3 linked regions of the Saccharomyces cerevisiae S288C genome follow. Changing the gene in region 3 together with the main gene of any one other region gives a genetic interaction. Each region holds a gene or a part of one and is shown on either strand. Other genes may lie near its edges. The genes, in order: BCY1, TPK2 and RAS2.

What was found.
Region 1: of RAS2 (region 3) and BCY1, a mutation in one rescues a mutant of the other (synthetic rescue), as found in Saccharomyces cerevisiae (6 studies listed by BioGRID, with this or other methods).
Region 2: of RAS2 (region 3) and TPK2, extra expression of one rescues a mutant of the other (dosage rescue), as found in Saccharomyces cerevisiae (5 studies listed by BioGRID, with this or other methods).

The regions. Positions count from the first base shown.
Region 1 is NC_001141.2:290,070-293,669, forward strand, and holds BCY1 (cAMP-dependent protein kinase regulatory subunit BCY1), read right to left. Parts: upstream 1,601-3,600; coding exon 350-1,600; downstream 1-349. Other genes in the region: CAP2 (F-actin-capping protein subunit beta), read right to left, coding at 1-20; SUMO protease ULP2, read left to right, coding at 2,564-3,600. UniProt on the Saccharomyces cerevisiae protein: Regulatory subunit of the cyclic AMP-dependent protein kinase (PKA), an effector of the Ras/cAMP pathway. Inhibits PKA activity in the absence of cAMP. cAMP activates PKA and promotes growth and proliferation in response to good nutrient conditions.
Region 2 is NC_001148.4:164,389-169,395, forward strand, and holds TPK2 (cAMP-dependent protein kinase catalytic subunit TPK2), read left to right. Parts: upstream 1-1,867; coding exon 1,868-3,010; downstream 3,011-5,007. Other genes in the region: serine/threonine protein kinase HRR25, read left to right, coding at 1-1,372; AFT2 (Aft2p), read right to left, coding at 3,700-4,950.
Region 3 is NC_001146.8:438,592-443,084, forward strand, and holds RAS2 (Ras family GTPase RAS2), read right to left. Parts: upstream 1,980-4,493; coding exon 1,011-1,979; downstream 1-1,010. Other genes in the region: putative tyrosine protein phosphatase OCA1, read right to left, coding at 1-692; PLS1 (Pls1p), read right to left, coding at 2,206-2,328; PHO23 (Pho23p), read right to left, coding at 2,775-3,767. UniProt on the Saccharomyces cerevisiae protein: The S.cerevisiae Ras proteins modulate the activity of the adenylate cyclase catalytic subunit and therefore affect the biosynthesis of cyclic-AMP.

The sequences.
Region 1 (3,600 bases), on a different chromosome or scaffold from region 3:
TCGAATTGAGCATCAGACATTACGGTGGTGATTGTAGAGTTGGAGAGAGTTTTTGTATGTCACTTGATTGAACAGTTCTCCTTTATTTGTTACAAATGCTCTCATTTTTACGTTTTCCGTGGTGAAAAAAAAAAAAAAAAATGAACATATATACATGTAGTAACAGCAGTAGTAGATGAAGAATTTAGAGTTTAAACAGGTAACATAACGCTATAAGGGAAAGGAAAGTGGAGATGTTATACATTATATTTACGTAGACGTTGAAGGAAGAAGAAAGAAAAAGGGAACAGAAGAAGAAGAAAAAGAGAAAGGAAATTCATGTGGATTTAAGATCGCTTCCCCTTTTTACTTAATGTCTTGTAGGATCATTGAGCTTTAATACGTCTACTGCAGGACCCAGTAAACGTTGAAAACCACTTTTCCCCAATGTGGCAACTTTGGTTCTCTTTGTAGCAGTCACAGTGGCCTGTCTGGGCAAATCGTTTAGCAAGGCCACTTCACCGAAATAATCATGGTCTTTCAGTTTATTTATGACACCTTGGCCCTTCTTAGAGACGTCCACAGCTCCGTACTCAATTAAATAAAAGTTCTCCCCTTGATCACCCTCGCGAATGATTGTTTCACCCGGCTGGTAGATCTTGGTATCCAGTGCATCGGCAAGTTTGGCACGGTCGTACGTAGTCAAACTCTTCAAAACTGGCATGCTCTTCAAAAGATCGTCATACATGAGTCTCTTCTTGAAAGAGCTGCCCAAAAGTATTTTTCTGAAGGTGAGCCTGTCTAGAGCCCACAACAAACAGTCGGAGGTTGCTACAACGGTGGCAGCACGAGGGCTGTTGTACATAAGAGCAAGTTCCCCGAAACTGGAGCCTGGCCCGGAAGAGTTGACCTTGTTGTCGTTGACGTAGAAGTCAACAGTACCCTTTTCGACGACATAGAAGTAGTCCCCTTGGTCACCTTGCTTGATTATCGTAGCACCTTTGGGGACGGACTTCTCCTCCAGACAATTTATGACCAGCCTTTTTGAGTCGGAATCCAGCTTGTTGAACAGAAAGTTATTACGGATCGATTTTTCCAGTCTTTGCAATTGCTGCTCGGACTTTTCCTTATAGTGATCTGGAGTCCAATCGTCAAAATTGTTTGGTTGTAAGGTCTCACCACTAACAGAAGTACGCCTTTGGGCGTTGAAGTGCATTGGGAGTGGAGGAGTTGATGTCTTTTCTCTAGTATGCTGTTGTTCTTCCTGTGCTTGCTGGTGAGTGTCCTGTTCGTGCGGGTCTAAATTAAACCCACTTTTAAACACGTTGGAGTGTGGGTCCTCGTTCACAAAGGGGGATTTGAACATAACACTCGATCTGGATCTTGATTGAGATTGAGCTGATTGAGGTCTGGAAAATGACTCCTCTGGTTCCGGAAATAGAACAATGTTCTTTGCCTTAAATTCAGGCTCCCTGGCCTTGAGGAACGCTCTCTGTTGTTCCAGCCTTTTATTGAAATAGTTGGCGGAGAACTGAAGAAAGTCGGACGGATTAGCGGCGTTGATTTCGTTCTGGAACAGTTGCAATTCGGCTTGCGATTCCTTGGGCAAAGAAGATACCATCGTTTATTCTTACTGTTGTCTTTTGAAAATAATCTGCTTGTTGTAAATGATCTTCCTATTTATGTATGCGTGAAATGCGTGTAATGGATGTGATGATAGCGATCGCTTGACTTAGTCGAGGAAAGCGTAAAGTGTCCCTTTTTCTCTTTCCCTTTTCCCTGTTTGTTCAAATTTTCTCTTTTCTACCTTCCTCTTCGTTTTGCTCCTTGCCAGCAAAACGAGGAAGGACAAGAATTTTGGAGAGCGGCGGCGCGGCGCCATAATAAATGCACTTGAGCAAATGCAATAAGTTCAGCTTATGGCTTCTGCAACAAAGAAGAGGTCGGAATCCGAGCACAGTATAATCAATATATTATCAGGCAGAACAAAAGTGGCGGGTATAACACGAAGAAAGAAGGAAGGGTGGTGATTGGGTGCTTTGTTTTTTTCCGCTCGTCGTGGTGGCATGCGCTTTTTTTTTCTTGGGTGAAGATTAGCCGCCGAAGTCGTATGCTCCTCTTTTGAGCGTTTTGAAAGATAGAAAAAAGCTGAGTAAGTAAAATCGTCGGCGGCTAATCTGAAAAGTATATAAAGTCCTTTATATTTTCCACTCGTATTCTTTTCCCTCCTCCTTTTTTTTTTTACTTTCTCACGTATGGCTTGTTTCATTTATTATCAGATCAGTAATCACGTGCCGTGTCGTTAGAAATGACATTTGGTTCTTTGCCTTCTTTGTCCTTTTTCTATCTTCCTACTAAGAGAAACTATTATACAATACAATAAGAGAACATCGTGAAACAACATAAAAGATATCACGTCATCAGAGAGAGATAAAACATCACAACCAATTACATTACAGTGTATTCGTTTCTTCTTAGAGAGAGAAATAAAGAGCGGGATAAAAGGACACTACACAGTATACCCCATACCCAGGTGCAATAATACACGTATATCTATGTTTATTGCACATCAAACCCCACATATATGTCTGCCAGAAAACGCAAGTTTAATAGTCTCAAACCGCTAGACACCTTGAACAGCTCTCGTGCCAGCTCTCCAAGGTCCTCTGCTTCTCTACCGCCCAAAAGATATAACACTTTTCGTAAGGATCCGAAAATCGTTGATCATCTAAACAATGCTTCTACAAAGGATTTCTTACCAGTTTTGAGTATGAACAGCGAGAGTAAGAGGCAGATCGAATTGTCGGATAATGATGTTGATAATAATGATGAAGGTGAAGGCGTCAACAGTGGCTGTTCAGATCAAGATTTTGAACCTTTGCAAAGCTCTCCTTTGAAAAGACACTCATCACTCAAAAGCACTTCCAATGGTCTTTTGTTCCAAATGTCTAATAATCTGGGGAATGGTTCACCGGAACCGGCAGTAGCGAGCACTTCTCCAAATGGCTCAATTATTTCCACTAAACTAAATTTGAACGGCCAATTTTCTTGCGTTGATTCGAAAACATTGCGAATTTATCGGCATAAAGCACCATGCATAATGACTTTTGTCTCAGATCATAATCATCCGAAATTTTCATTGTATTTTCAACAATCGGTGATCTACAATTCACAAGTTAATCTGCTTGATGATGTTGAATTGATAATTTTAGATAAGAAGAACTCTTTTATGGCTATAATTTTAAAAGATCTGAAAAAGGTCAAGATGATACTAGACGTGAATAACTCTTCAATCAACATTAACACGAACATCTTGATATGGTCCACTGCAAGCTCCGCTTCAAATAAAAAAATAAAGTCTATTAAAAGATTCCTGTTGATGTCATATTCTTCGTCGATAAAAGTCGAAATTTTAGATCATAAAGAGCAGATTTTGGAAAGACTAAAACATCTGATTCATCCTATTTCTTCGTCATCACCTTCATTGAACATGGAAAGGGCAATAAACTCCACTAAAAATGCATTCGACTCTTTAAGACTTAAAAAAACTAAACTTTCTACTAATGATGATGAAAGTCCGCAAATTCATACTCATTTCTTATCAAACAAACCTCATGGTTT
Region 2 (5,007 bases), on a different chromosome or scaffold from region 3:
GCTGGAATCGATCAGGTCCAGACATCCTCAATTGGACTATGAGTCCCGCGTCTACAGATACTTAAGCGGTGGTGTGGGAATCCCGTTCATCAGATGGTTTGGCAGAGAGGGTGAATATAATGCTATGGTCATCGATCTTCTAGGCCCATCTTTGGAAGATTTATTCAACTACTGTCACAGAAGGTTCTCCTTTAAGACGGTTATCATGCTGGCTTTGCAAATGTTTTGCCGTATTCAGTATATACATGGAAGGTCGTTCATTCATAGAGATATCAAACCAGACAACTTTTTAATGGGGGTAGGACGCCGTGGTAGCACCGTTCATGTTATTGATTTCGGTCTATCAAAGAAATACCGAGATTTCAACACACATCGTCATATTCCTTACAGGGAGAACAAGTCCTTGACAGGTACAGCTCGTTATGCAAGTGTCAATACGCATCTTGGAATAGAGCAAAGTAGAAGAGATGACTTAGAATCACTAGGTTATGTCTTGATCTATTTTTGTAAGGGTTCTTTGCCATGGCAGGGTTTGAAAGCAACCACCAAGAAACAAAAGTATGATCGTATCATGGAAAAGAAATTAAACGTTAGCGTGGAAACTCTATGTTCAGGTTTACCATTAGAGTTTCAAGAATATATGGCTTACTGTAAGAATTTGAAATTCGATGAGAAGCCAGATTATTTGTTCTTGGCAAGGCTGTTTAAAGATCTGAGTATTAAACTAGAGTATCACAACGACCACTTGTTCGATTGGACAATGTTGCGTTACACAAAGGCGATGGTGGAGAAGCAAAGGGACCTCCTCATCGAAAAAGGTGATTTGAACGCAAATAGCAATGCAGCAAGTGCAAGTAACAGCACAGACAACAAGTCTGAAACTTTCAACAAGATTAAACTGTTAGCCATGAAGAAATTCCCCACCCATTTCCACTATTACAAGAATGAAGACAAACATAATCCTTCACCAGAAGAGATCAAACAACAAACTATCTTGAATAATAATGCAGCCTCTTCTTTACCAGAGGAATTATTGAACGCACTAGATAAAGGTATGGAAAACTTGAGACAACAGCAGCCGCAGCAGCAGGTCCAAAGTTCGCAGCCACAACCACAGCCCCAACAGCTACAGCAGCAACCAAATGGCCAAAGACCAAATTATTATCCTGAACCGTTACTACAGCAGCAACAAAGAGATTCTCAGGAGCAACAGCAGCAAGTTCCGATGGCTACAACCAGGGCTACTCAGTATCCCCCACAAATAAACAGCAATAATTTTAATACTAATCAAGCATCTGTACCTCCACAAATGAGATCTAATCCACAACAGCCGCCTCAAGATAAACCAGCTGGCCAGTCAATTTGGTTGTAAGCAACATATATTGCTCAAAACGCACAAAAATAAACATATGTATATATAGACATACACACACACATATATATATATATATTATTATTATTATTTACATATACGTACACACAATTCCATATCGAGTTAATATATACAATTCTGGCCTTCTTACCTAAAAAGATGATAGCTAAAAGAACCACTTTTTTTATGCATTTTTTTCTTCGGGAAGGAAATTAAGGGGGAGCGGAGCACCTCTTGGCCAATTTGTTTTTTTTTTATGTAATAAAGGGCTAACGATCGAAGATCAATCACGAATATTGGACGGTTTTAAAGGAGGGCCTCTGAGAAGACAGCATCAATTCGTATTTTCGATAATTAACTTGCCTTATAGTGTCTGATTAGGAAACAATCACGAGACGATAACGACGGAATACCAAGGAAGTTTGTGCAAATATACAGCCGGCACAAACAGCAGCTTCACTCAGGTTAACTCACATACTGTTGAAAATTGTCGGTATGGAATTCGTTGCAGAAAGGGCTCAGCCAGTTGGTCAAACAATCCAGCAGCAAAATGTTAATACTTACGGGCAAGGCGTCCTACAACCGCATCATGATTTACAGCAGCGACAACAACAACAACAGCAGCGTCAGCATCAACAACTGCTGACGTCTCAGTTGCCCCAGAAATCTCTCGTATCCAAAGGCAAATATACACTACATGACTTCCAGATTATGAGAACGCTTGGTACTGGATCTTTTGGTAGGGTTCATTTGGTGCGCTCTGTTCACAATGGTCGGTATTATGCTATAAAAGTTTTAAAGAAACAACAAGTTGTCAAGATGAAACAGGTTGAACATACCAATGACGAACGACGTATGCTAAAGCTTGTGGAGCATCCGTTTCTGATTAGAATGTGGGGTACGTTTCAAGATGCTAGGAATATCTTTATGGTGATGGATTATATCGAAGGTGGTGAACTTTTCTCGTTACTGAGAAAGTCACAAAGATTTCCTAATCCTGTAGCAAAATTTTACGCTGCGGAAGTCATACTGGCATTAGAGTACTTGCATGCTCATAATATCATCTACAGGGATTTAAAGCCAGAAAATATCTTGCTGGATAGAAATGGCCACATTAAAATAACCGATTTTGGGTTCGCCAAAGAGGTACAAACTGTCACATGGACGCTTTGTGGGACTCCTGATTACATTGCTCCTGAAGTTATTACCACAAAGCCATATAATAAGTCGGTGGATTGGTGGTCTCTAGGTGTTCTAATCTACGAAATGTTAGCTGGTTATACACCCTTTTACGATACTACTCCAATGAAGACGTATGAAAAGATTTTACAAGGTAAAGTAGTATATCCACCATATTTTCATCCCGACGTCGTGGATCTACTAAGCAAACTGATCACTGCAGATTTGACAAGAAGAATCGGTAATTTACAAAGCGGTTCCAGGGACATCAAAGCTCACCCATGGTTTAGTGAAGTTGTATGGGAAAGATTGTTAGCAAAGGATATTGAAACTCCATACGAGCCTCCTATCACATCAGGTATCGGTGACACGTCTTTATTCGATCAATATCCCGAGGAGCAGCTAGATTATGGTATTCAAGGCGATGATCCATATGCTGAATACTTTCAAGATTTCTAAGTTCCATGAACCAAAAAACACAAAAACAATTTTCAAGTACTTTCTCTCACTCCTTTTCCTTTCTCTTTTTTCCTCCACCAAAATCTGGCGCACTTTCTTTATATTTTACCTAACGGATGCCTTATTTGTGGTCTGTTTTAAGCTAGTTCATATTGTAAAAAAAGAAAAAGAGATGAGAAGAACAAGCGTTGCCCTAAATATCTTCTATACTACAATTCATTTTAATTCAATATCATATTTAAGTTGAGGGCATTTAGATCTTAGAGATTCATCTAAAAATAGGAGGGGTGATGTATAGAAAATGTTCGAATATCATTCCTCTGCTTTTTTCTATATGATTATTTCCTATATGAGCTTTTACTTACTGATCTCATGATCTCAGTGCAAAAATTAGGGGACCGGCACGCCTGAAAGTTTTTTAGATAATTGAATGTTGCGGTGCATTACCTATGAAAAGATGAAGCGCACGTGAACCATATTATAATCAACAAACTTGAAGAATAAAACTTTTGAGCGCATGAAGCCATGATATATCTTATTTGTATCGACATGCTTTAAGTCCTCCGTAGCTTTAAAAAGTCTAAGGTCCAAAATCCCTCGATGGTGCTGATATCACCATTATTCATGTCCATCAGATCTTGTCACATATTTAAACGTGATACCGTTTTAATGAGTTGAAAACTAAATAATTAATATTTTGATATTAAGGCTGGGTCAATAGAATTTAATTCATTAAAATGCTCATCGTTGAAATGAAGCAACGCTTCGTAGTTGTAGTTTAACATGCCAAAATTTTCGTTTCTCTCTTTGCCTAAGTTCGTAGCAATATCTGTATCAGCAGTTGGTGCGTTGCTTTTGGTATCTTTGGAAACTTTAATGATCTCATCTCCATAAGGAGCGTCTGTTTCCATAAAATTTGGTGAAGATGTTGTTGATTCTGACAGGGCTATATCCATTTTGCTTTGTGACAAGGGCCTCGTTGGTGTTGAAGGAAGTATACAAGAAGAGGACGAAGGACCTGGTGTAGGTTCTGTCAAAAGTTCCATCAGGCCTTGGTTGTAATTTTGGATGAAATTGTCGTTGCAAAACATGTTCGTAAAATCAATTTCGTTTAAGTTCGTTAAAGAATCTTCTTTCTCTATCTTTACACAGGAATTCCGCGTTTTGAAATTGTCTAAAAATCCGGTATCATGTAGATCCGCATCCAACTTCGTTTTCAACCTTGGCCTAGGTTTCGAATTATCCATCTGTCTGGATTTTATTTTAGAAACGGAGTTTTTATTTGTTTTGAGCAAATTTTTTTTAGACGTCAAAGGGGGGTTTGATAGTGGGAGAAAAATGTTATTGAAAGCTTCAATTTCCTTGGTTAACCCACAGTCACAAGAAATAATTGGTGTGACGAGTGGTAAGTTTAGACTTGCTTTATATTCTAATTCATCAAATGTTTTGATGGCTTTTTCGTCGTTCTTCTGACGAAGATTTTCCTTAAACTTTTTATAGTCATCCGTTTTAGTAATCAAATCAAATCTCAGCTCATGTGAATGTATGTTATTCATAACAACCACGTTCCACTTCTGTAACCGCACAGAGTAGGCTGCTCTAATTCTAAATGGACATGCATGGGATCTTGAAGAGGAACCTTTGGATTTAGGGTTCAACCCTACTTTCGATCGTACTGACCTACACTTAAAAGTAACTTTGCTACTATCTGATCTTTCGATGACTATATCTATTCCTTGAGGATAGAATATTTTCTGTAGCCACGGTTTAATCTCGTGCCTGTCCTCAAAAGACGGAACTGGGTCTAAATGAATAAGTTTATTTTGGTCTTTAGACATCATAGATGCTAGATTATCGGGAGATGCTGTTAACTTCATTTTCCCTGTTTTAGACACTGATATTGGCACAGATATTATGCTCTTCATCGACTTTGCTTTCATTTCTTGGGGGTCGCTTTCTCTTGATTAATTTGCGCCAGAGTTTCTGGTCACTACAAC
Region 3 (4,493 bases):
CTTGGTGCTTTATTTTTGTCTATTTTTACTAAATTAGTGTCGAAAGCTTCTATAAGCAACTCTACAAGAATTCTACCACCTCTGCTACCAGTAAAGCGTCTATATTCTTCGGATACACTGGCTAAGTTCCAACCCATTATTCTTCTGAGACATCCAATGACTGTCCCAGTCCTATGTCTTCCCATACCACAGCACACTAGCAAGGGATAATTCTCTTGAGTGACGATCGTTTGTAGTACATTAATTATAGAATGTTCAGTGAGACCGTCCCATGGATTATCGTCCTCACCGGCATCCGGGTTGATGGCTGCGAATTGTAAGTTTATTCTATGAGTATCACAAAACTCTAGGAGGGTATCTTGAGGTTCTTCGTTAGACAGCCATATAATTGTTTTCAGTTTTAGGTTTAGTAAAAAGGGGAAATTCACAGGTGAAGGCTGACCAGATCTATAGAGGTATCTTTCAACGGGACAGAAATTCAAAGGTGGAACGATACGTTCTTGTGGGGCATGTGATACCAAGACCTTTTCGCGACCAGATTCTGTTTCTTCATTGATATATATATGATCATCATCGTCGTCTTCTTCCTCGTCTTCGTCTTCTACTTCTTCTTCAGGTACGGATACGTTCTCTTCTGTGAGGCGGGACTCATCCTCTGGAACGTCCTCATATTCACCAACTTTAGATGTCATTCTAAGGGGAAAGAGAAGCTTGTTATTCCAGGTGGAACACCTCTTTCTTGTGAAAATGGATGTGATTGATGACTCTCTGCAATGTCCAATTTTATGTTATAGCGATGTTGTTTGTTTTTTCCTTTACCCGGCAACCATATGATATTGCCCAAAGTTTCCAATGTTAACAAGAATGAAACGGAAATAGCAAATGGCAATAAGCAATATAAAAACAGTCACTTTTTTATTTACTTTTGTATATATTTATAAATGTGTGTACTCGTTTCAACTTTATAGAGTTCTTTTCGTCTTAGCGTTTCTACAACTATTTCCTTTTTATTAACTTATAATACAACAGCCACCCGATCCGCTCTTGGAGGCTTCACTGGTGTTACCGCCGGGTGCAGCTTGCTGCTTCCTAGCCTGTTTAGCATTTGAAACTTGACCGGCCTTACTATTATTATTTACACGATTATTAACCGTATTAGCGCTTTGAGCGTTGGCCTGACCAGCTTGGCCCGTGGAATTGTCTATATTGGTGCGATCAGTTTGTGTCTTACCATTTGTCGCCTGGTTGCCTGCCAACCCTGTCTTACTCTCTATGCTTGCATTCCTGGCATTCACGACAGTTGTGCTACTGTTCACATTTTTACCGTTGGCAGCATTGCTCATCTTCCTGTGGCCACCGCTATTTCTAGGCACAGAGTTGGCACCGCTCCCTTTTGTATCTTGAGAAGTTTGCTTGGAGTTGTCATTTTCCGTCAAAGTCTTGTTGTACTTGCCGCCTTCGTCTCTAACTAAACGTGCTAGAGTGTAAAACGCCTCTTCCACGTTGATTGCTTGCTTAGCAGATGTCTCCAAGAAAGGAGCGTTCATTTGCTTTGCCATGTTCAACCCGTCCTGGTAAGAGACCTGTTTTTCGTTTTCTAAATCAGATTTGTTACCAACAACCACAATTGGAACATAGTCGGTATCTTTGACTCTCAATATCTGTTGATAGTAAGTCATAAGCTCATCAAGAGACGACTTGGACGTTATAGAGTAAACCAATAGGAATCCTTCGCCGTTGCGCATGTATTGTTCCCTCATAGCAGAGTATTCTTCCTGCCCTGCAGTATCCAAAATGTCCAATATAGACACTTCATCATCAATCACCACTTGCTTCCTGTATGAATCCTCAATTGTGGGATCGTATTCATCTACAAAGTGCGATTGGGTCAATTGTATGGTCAAAGCAGATTTACCAACACCACCACCACCAACGACGACTAGCTTGTACTCTCTTATGTTCGACTTGTTCAAAGGCATTTTTTTTTCTGTATATCTCCTTTCAATTCGAAAACGGTTAACTTGGTTTTTTTATCCGTAATTCTCTCGTATCTTTCTGCTCAAGTAATTTTCTCCTAGTTGATTAATATAGTGCAGAAGAGTCAGATAAAGAGTGGATGAATAAAATGGAAAAAAAACAAAAGCCGGATTGCGTTACGCTTGAAATGAGCGATTCTAGGCGATAAGAGAAGACAACGGCTAAAACTTAAGATGTTGGGGTACTATAAATGTTTACCCAGATTTTCGGTAGAAATGTTTGCTGATGTGAACCTTGTTTCCCGTTTTCCCAGATCCCCTTATTCCAGCTTTGTTTCGTCTTTGCTGTCATGTTCCGTTTAATTTCTGAAGGCCTGCCTAGCTTCACCGTCCTAAATGTCACGCTCCAGGCAGAGACATGGCGCAGGGGCGAGGCCAGGGGCAAAGGGGTCAGGCAGGAACCTCCAAGGGGGGCGAGGTGAATGAAAAGGTCCTTCTGAATAAAAAGCCTAAGCGATTAGCCACACCACCCACTGTACGGCGATTAGACTGAGCTGCTGGCGCTGCTACGCCGTGACAAGTCATTTCATCATTTATTACGTTTTATCGTGCCGTCATCACCATCGATTTGAATATTTTATCTAGACCGGTAGGGCCCAAGTATCTTGCAGATCCATTGATACGGCCACGCCCGTTAAAACGCTAAGATATATATATATGTAGCTAAGATATATATATATGTATATATTCGGTATTTAGTAGATATTTCCTTAAGGCGATATTCGCCCGAGAGCTATTTCACAGTTTTTTTTTGCAGTCGTCGCAATACCACTTGCCCTTAGGTAGAGTTTCGAGTCCAATACATGGCAAATGGAACCATTCTAGCTCACAGTCTGCGCCATCACACCCCACCATTTCCCCGTATGCCACTTGGTTACAGTAGCAGTAGAGCGGTTCGCCGTAGTCGTTGGTTTTTGGTCTTGATATCCTGCTGTTGTTGCTGTTTCCGACGCTGCTAACTCCCCTGGACGCTGTAGATGTACCTATCCTGCCATTATTGACGGCAGTTGCCGTGCTGATAGTGCTTGGTGAAACGGCTGTGGTGGCAACTCTCCTCTTGCGTTTTTTGGTCTCTGGATCGGCGTTGTTGGTATTGGCAGCGTTGGCTCTTTTTCTTGAGTTTGTGTTGTTACCAGTGTGGTCTTGGCTCTCGTGCCTGCTGCCTCCGTAGTTTGCGTCGTTCTTTGAGTCGTCTTGTTGGTGTGTGCTGGCGGAGTAATGTTCGCCCTGCCTCCTGTTGGCAGCCATGGCTTCTCTTCTTGATTCGCTCTTCAGTGCCTGCGACGATTTGCTGTTTGATTTGCTCTCTATTTTTTCCATTAGTTCATGATGGAGGTGCATTGCTGGATGGTTGTCCACACCCAGTCTTAAACCTCTAGGAATTTCTGTGTTCTTGATTGCGACTTCATACGCCAATTCTAACCGGGACGTCAATCTGTCTAGATTATCCAGCATAATGGATGAGACATGCATTTTCTCCTCCAGCGATGGCATCAGTTCTTCATAAATCTTGTTGATATTATTGAGCAGTCTTACTTGTGTTTGGTGATCTTTATTGAAGTCTTTCTTCAAGAACTTATCTATCCTCTCGTTCAAATTCGGCATAGAATGCACACATTTTGCATCTATTTCGTGTAGTAATGTTAAATATCTGGAGGTGGCCAGTGGGAATTCCTCCAGCACGTCAGTTATGTCGTTTAATCCAGGGAATAGGTTCGCTGGTGAACTCATTTGTACGTATTTCAGACTATGAACGTGGTTGCTGTTTGTGATACTGCAAGACTACAAACTTTTCTCCTTCCGGGTTCGTCCTGTTGTAAACGCCTAACTCTTTTCCTTAGGCTCCTTTTTCGTTTTTTCCCTAGCTCTTTCTTTCTTCTTCATGTGCATGCACTCTTTCCTACATATTTTTTTTTCAAGGGCATTTTTAACTTTCTTCGGAAATCGTCTAAGAATTGTAAACTATAATTGCAAATACGCGATTAGCTCTATCTAGAATACCGAAAAAAAGGTTTGCCACTCACAATTGGACGTGCCTCAATTATTTCAAGTATACGTCATTTGGGCTTTTGACTTGTAAAATATACTCAAATGAAATTCTGATTATACAAAGTTGAAACACGTAACACGCCATGTCAAGGTACGCGTAGAGGTAAGCAGATAATGCATGGACAATGTGCTGGGCGAAGAGGCGGATCTAATTACACATACTTGGGATCATCTAAGATTTCAGATGGTTATGTTAATGCTCACTTGTTCCACGCCTTTTTCCTTTCCTTCAGATAAGTAATCCGCATATCAATGTGAAAGAACTAACGGTTGTTGATGGACGTATCGTTGTCTAGCGATAAATAATGCTTTTTCTTCAACAAATAAGTGGTTGTTTGGCCGAGCGGTCTAAGGCGCCTGATTCAAGAAATATCTTGACCGCAGTTAACTGTGGGAATACTCAGGTAT